2 linked regions of the Oryzias latipes genome follow. The protein of the gene in region 1 purifies or fractionates together with the protein of each later gene. This does not show direct contact. Links are inferred from orthologs where the notes say so. Each region holds a gene or a part of one and is shown on either strand. Other genes may lie near its edges. The genes, in order: clspn and timeless.

The links.
Region 2: the proteins of clspn (region 1) and timeless purify together in Homo sapiens (affinity purification with western blotting; 4 studies listed by BioGRID). This does not show direct contact. The link is inferred for Oryzias latipes from reciprocal best matches to the Homo sapiens genes CLSPN and TIMELESS.

The regions. Positions count from the first base shown.
Region 1 is NC_019869.2:20,039,006-20,042,823, forward strand, and holds part of clspn (claspin), read right to left. Parts: intron 3,303-3,818; coding exon 2,965-3,302; intron 2,895-2,964; coding exon 2,742-2,894; intron 2,666-2,741; coding exon 2,606-2,665; intron 2,529-2,605; coding exon 2,456-2,528; intron 2,382-2,455; coding exon 2,279-2,381; intron 2,024-2,278; coding exon 1,488-2,023; intron 1,420-1,487; coding exon 1,231-1,419; intron 1,156-1,230; coding exon 995-1,155; intron 790-994; coding exon 671-789; intron 597-670; coding exon 544-596; intron 460-543; coding exon 266-459; intron 126-265; coding exon 1-125.
Region 2 is NC_019863.2:27,134,962-27,137,462, reverse strand, and holds the end of timeless (protein timeless homolog), read right to left. Parts: coding exon 2,419-2,501; intron 1,697-2,418; coding exon 1,645-1,696; intron 1,575-1,644; coding exon 1,501-1,574; intron 970-1,500; coding exon 836-969; 3' UTR 523-835; downstream 1-522. UniProt on the Homo sapiens protein: Plays an important role in the control of DNA replication, maintenance of replication fork stability, maintenance of genome stability throughout normal DNA replication, DNA repair and in the regulation of the circadian clock.

The sequences.
Region 1 (3,818 bases):
ACTCCACGACTGGAGGAGGGCCCCGCCAGCTGGCCTGAGTCTGCGCCGGGGGATGGGGGGGCATACAGGTCCTGAGAGTCCTCCACCGGGAGGCAGAGGGACGGCTCCGAGAGTTTTCCAGAACTCTGTCAGGAAAGAAAAAAATGATTTAAGAACTTTTTCTAAGACTTTATTTAAGTTTATTTACTCAGACTTCTGTCGCAAAATTAAAACACTTAAAATAACTTAAAAATGAAAATTCATAAACTTTTCTGAAGTTGTCTACCTTCGAGGCCGAGCCAAGGAAGTTGGGCCTGAAGAAGCATGGCGATGGCGACCGGAAGGCGGCGGAGCCGAATGCCGCTCTCCCGGTGGCGCGCTGGTTGTTGACGGGCTGGTAGGAGGTGAGCATGGATCCTGCCAGCTCGAAGCTGCTGTTGTGGCTCATGTCCTTCACCAGGGACAGGGAGTCCTCCTCCTCTGTGGGCGGGGCACAGACAGATGGCGCCCTTTTCAACCCAACATGCTCGTCAACAGGAAGTGGCAAGACCAGCAAGCACTCACCAGTCTTGTTGCTGCTGTCGGGCCCAGGTGGCGGCGCTCTCCTGACGCCGTCGCTGAAGAAGAACGTAACGCGTTAAAGTCTTAAAAAGTTTTTTTTTTTAAACAGTTTTTTTGCGGGGGAACGAACCCGGTACGAGAGCACGAGCTGCCGGGAAACAGCATGAGGGTGCCGTCGGCGTGGACAAGGTCGGACACAGGCGCCACCTCGCCTTCTTCTTCAGCGCCGCCCAACAAGTCATCCAACCCCTGAAACACAATTGTTTTGGAATTTTTAAGAACCATCTGAAGACCCTCTGAAGGTTTCCATGATTTATGATTTTTCTGGATTACACCAGCAGGGGGAAGCACTGAGGCTCAAATCCATCAGGGAAACCTAAATGGTTTTCCTTTCGCTGAGTCTGGTGGTTTTTGTTTTTTTAAATCTTTCAGATAAAACCCTTAAAGTTCTCACCTCCTCTTCCTCCGACTCATCTGTCATGTCCTCCTCCTCTTCCTCCTCCTCACAGTCTTCGTTGTCCAGGCGGTGCAGCTCAGCCCTGCGGGCCCGCTCCTCCCTGCGCCGCTGTGCCATGGCGAGCTGCAGGCGCTGCTTTAGACTCAGCAGCTTCTCTCCTTCAGAGACGCGCCAGTTAACCACACCCCCACTACTACCCTGTAGCTCCGCCCACGCCTGCTGCTCTTCCTCACCTGGTTTGGCGGGGACCGGCTCTTCGGCGCCATCTTTGACAGTGATCGTGAGCGTCTCGGACCGCAGTTCCTCCTGCCCTGAGGGGGCGCTGTCTTTGCGCACGATGTTGAGCTGGAGCGTGCGCTCTCCGGGGGGGTGCGCCGGGGGTTGAATGTGACGAAGGTAGCGTTCTTTCAGGGCCGCTACGCCTGTGGGGGGTTGGCGGCCATGAGCAAAACGGAGGGGCAGGTCAAAGATGCAGCGGAATCAAACTCACCTGGGTTGAGTTGGGGGGGCTCCAGCTGAACGAAAGCGCCCTCGTCCGCGCACAGCTTTGCCACAGGCGGGGGGTCCAGGCCCAGCTCCTTCAGTCTTTTCAGCTTCCTGGTTTTGACGAGCAGAGGAGCAGGAGGCTCCGCCTCCTCTTGCTGCTGGACCTCAGAGCCCGACTCTGCAGCAGTTCTGGTTTCCTCTGGAGGCGGGGCCAGGCTTCCCCGCTCGCAGTCAGAAACAGGTTTCTCCGTTGCGTCTGACTCCTGCAGACTCTCCGACAGATAAAGCATCGGGCCCGATTCCAGCTCCGGATCAGAACCTCCAGAAGCTCCGTCTGGCCCACAGAGACTCTCTCCGTGGGCTCTCTCTCTCTCTTGCTGCGGGGACGAGGTCGCTGAGGGCACAGGCAAAGACTCAATCTGATTGGTTGAGGGCTCCAGGGAAGCAGGGGTTTCCTGCTCTGTAGTTGGTTGGCTGGACTCCTTCACGGGAGGAGCGTCGGGCGGCGTCTCCAACATCATCTGAGAGTATTTTGAAGATCTGATGGGAGAAAGATGAAATATTGTTTTCAGAGCAAAGATCTTTGATTTGTTCGCAGGTTCAACTCCAGGGTTGGAGAGAAACTCAGCGCGACTTCCTAGTGCCTTTACATGAAGGGGCTTTTATTTTGAAAAAGCAAACCAACTTCCTGCCTTTTTTGCACTGCAATTCTTCTGCTCAACGACTTAAACGCCTATATCTCAGAGTCAAACTCCCAAACAGAACAAACTACGTTTGTCGTGGGGAGGGTCTTACTTGAGCAGTGCCATTGCGGGACCCTGGGGGCGGGCTTTTCTCCTGTAGAAGTCGTGGATGCTTTTGGGCTCTGGGATGTGGTATGGCAGACCCAAAGAGGACTCTGTGGGGGCAGGAGGGGATGTTAGCTCAGGTGGAGCGGGTGGGGGCGCCGCAGATGGGCGGAGGAGCGCTCACCTCGGATCAGGCGCTGCGACTCGCTGTGCAGCTGCTTCATGGCCTCTCGGCTCGCCCTCGCCGCCTTCCTCTCCTGTGGACAGGAGAACAACAAGTTGATCACATGACTGACACTTCCCTGGCTTGGGGGGAGACTCTGGCTCCGCCTACCGCGCGGTGGGGCTTCTCCGCTGCCTCGTCATCGTCATCCCCCTCACTTAGAAGGCGTTCCTAAAGAAACAGAACCTTTGAGCAAGGCTTCATCGTGGAGCCCCAGCAGACGGCTGACTCGGATATTTATCTTAACCTCCTGCTTTTTCATCTTCTGCTTGACTGCAGCTCGGATGGCGTCCAAAGATTCCTCCTCCTCCTCTTCTTCGTCGTTTAGCCCTGTGTCGAACAGGTCCGTGTCGCCCAACGGACACCCGCTGTCGTTCAGCGATCGCGGCAAAGCACCACCCTAACGAGACAAGACGGGTTTTTACCTCACCATCTCTCTGTTCCGATCCGTTTGAGCAAGCAGAACTTACCTCATTTTCATCGCCAAACCTCCTCCTCTTCAGCTTCTCCACCGCGTTACTTCGCCTCTCCTGTTTCTCACGCCGCCTCCGGCTCTTCTCTCTGTTCTTCGCCTCTGCCTGCTGCGACTCCTCCCTTCCATCCGACTCGCCGTCCTCGCTGTCGGTGAGCCGGTGGGCAACTCTCCTCTGCGCTCCTTTCCTGCTGCTCTGCTCCTCCTCGCCGCTGGATAGCTGCTGAGCTTCTGCCACAGGGAAGCCGTTTTCTGCCGCTTCCTCCTCCTCGCTGTCACTGTCTCTGATGGCGACACGGCGAGGCTTTCTGTGAGCCGTGATGTCATCATCAGAGTCTGCAAAAACAACAACAAAAAAGAGAATCTGTAAAAAAAATAAACATGAACCGAGAATGAAGACTTAATCCTGAAGAAGGTGTTCACATTAGACACAGAACCTCAGGGCTCTATTCTCGGCCCTTTCCTGTTTTGTCTTTATCTGCCTCCAACAGGAGGAGGAGGAGGAGGAGGTTGTGGAGGAGCAGTCATGAGTCTGGTTTGTAAAACAGTGCAGCTTTTTTTCTTTTTTAACATAAATAATAATTTGCGACAAAGCTTCATGTAAAATTCATTTTTTTATGTTTTATCTAAAAACTGTTTTTTTTAGAGTTTCCTCGTGTTTCTCTAGGCATCCCGTATCAGAGTGACCCAGAGAAGCACTGCACGTTTTTCCAACATCCCGATCATTCTAGATCAGTGGTTCCCAGCGAATGCGGGCCGGTACTGGTTCGTGGGACAGTTAGTACAAAGAGAGACAAAAACACATAGAATTTGATTCTGAGGGAAGTTTTATTTAAATATGCATGTCAAGGT
Region 2 (2,501 bases), on another chromosome or scaffold:
ATTTGTTCATAAAACCTGTGTTTTTGACTGGAAGTCCATCAGCTTCACCTCGTTTTTGCTCTGCTCATCTTAAAGCAAAGTTTGTGGATTGTCAGGTCCCCTTTATGGCCACGTGGGATGGGGGCAAGCACAGATGCTGCAACAGGAAATTACTAATGTGGTCCAGATGTGAGGACAGCAGCTTCCAAAACAGATCACAAAATGTTGACTGCCGAATATGAGCCATGACCCGCAGGTACAAAACATTTGTTTTGCCGTTTCCACTAAACAAAGAAAAAAAAGTTTTTTAGAACTCCTACTTTGATTTTATGTCTCCTTATCGTTTAAGAATAACTGAGTCACTTAAACAAGAAAAACACAAAAATGACTTGTTAAAGAGACGTAGATACAGCAAGAATAAGAACAGTTTTAATCAAAGTTTATATTTTTGTATTTCTGCTGTTCAGGAAAAAAAGGACTATGCCCTCTAGTGTTAAAAGAAATTAGTGCATCAGAGCTTAAAAAAAAAAGAGGAAGATGTTCTCTGCTGTTAACTGATATTTTATTGGTGAGCATACAAATAGGAGATTGAACTTTAGAATGCAACAATAAAAGCACTTTACCTATAGAAAAGTGAGTGTACACCAAATGCAACATTTTCTCAACATTATATTGAAGTGACACGAACAAACAACAATCTGCACAACAGAATAAACTGGTAAGTAAAAATAAAAACATCAAAAGAACTTATTACTTTAGGTTTTTGGTACTAAATGATCCCACTCTGATTCCAGAAAGCTTTGTGCCACAGAAGACATGAGAGATGAGACTCTACGCAGTCCATTAAAGACCATCACTAATCCTCCTCTTCTTCTTCGTCATCTATCAAGACCATTTTCCGCCGTCGTTTAACAGGAGCAGAAATATCCTCCCCGTCTGAATCTGCTCCTGCATCCACGTCCATGTTCACTGTGGTGCTGGAGTCCAGCTCTGGAGAAAATAAGTCATTTTAATTATAAAAAAAAAAAAAAAGAACAATGGTCATAAAAATAATTTAAGCCTAGAATTAAAGACGACATTTTAACATTCAATTTAAATCTTTTCTTTTTGTGTACCACCTGACTGACAAGACTTTGACTGACTTTGAAGGTTTAAACAAAGCAAAAGTTTACATGTATTCAAAAAAACCTACAAGAAGTCACTAATAGAACTTTATAAGGCCAGAAACGATTAGTTAAACAAAAAATGTCACTTAAGCACAGTTGCAATGCAGAATTGTATTGTGAATGTTTTGTATCTATCTGTAAATAGCAACACGCATATTGAATACGCACATCATCATGTTTTGGAAAAAGGGGTGGGAGCAGACAAGATTTTTCTTCAACCCACTCCTTTTCAAGCACACTGTATTATTTCATGTCTTTTAAACCACTGTGTGTTGACTTTTCATTTGTGTTTGAAATAAAACTAAACTGAAAACTGAAACAATGGATACAAATCTGAAGAAAAAGAGCAAAATACCATTTTCCATCTCCTCATCATCTGAAAGTCCCCTTCTGCTTCTTTTAGTCGAGGTCTTCTCCTCCTGGGATCTGCTGCAGACAGTCAGTTGAAGGTTTAAGGAGACTCGAGGGTCTGTGCGGCATTTGGTTTTTAAAATCTCACCTCTTAGTTAAGCTGATTGAGTCTTCATCAGAATTTGCATCTGATGCAGCATCTAAAGGAACAACAGAAAGATTTTATTTAAAAAAAATATATCAAAATTCATTTTTTTTCTATTTCTTTTCTGAGACTCATTGACTACTTCCATTAATTTAATAAATAGAAATTATTAATATTTTATATTCATGTATTTTTGGTGTAAAGCAATTTGTGTCACCGTGTATAAATAAATAAAGATGGATTTGATCTCCATACTGGCTCTACCGGTTTCACAGAATTTGATGCAGAAAAATAAAGATTGGCTCTAAATGCTGGCAGGTGAAACTTCTCTTTGATTAATGTTTGCAGTTTTACAGTTTGCCAGGTGTTCAGGTAAAAGGTTTCTTCCTCCAGAGACCTTTTAACACTTAATAGGAGAAAAAAAGCAGGACCTTTTTAGTCACTCATCTTTTTTTGTCAGTGTTTTCTTTTAGGATCAATTAAAGAGAAATAAATCCCTGCACTTTGCTTTGTGAAGAAAGTATATCTTTAACCTTTTGGGGGGCTTACTGTGCTGACGTAAAGCTCTAAAGAATAACTTACTAAGAAAAGGTTGAAAGTCCAACAAATTCGAAATGAACTGAGTTATTGTCCTTGTGTTTTTATTCTATAAAACTCAATTTTATTGTTAAATTATTCTCTGTTTTTCACAGAACAGGATGAGGATGCTGCGTTCATCAAGAACATAAAAGCTGGTGCTATTTTGCTCTGTAAAGAAGAAGACAGAAGCAGGCACACCTGAGTCCTTGGTGGGGTTTTTTCTCTTCCGTGCGAGCAGCAGAGCCCTCAGAGCCTGAGCTCTCTGCTCTCCTGAGGCGCCT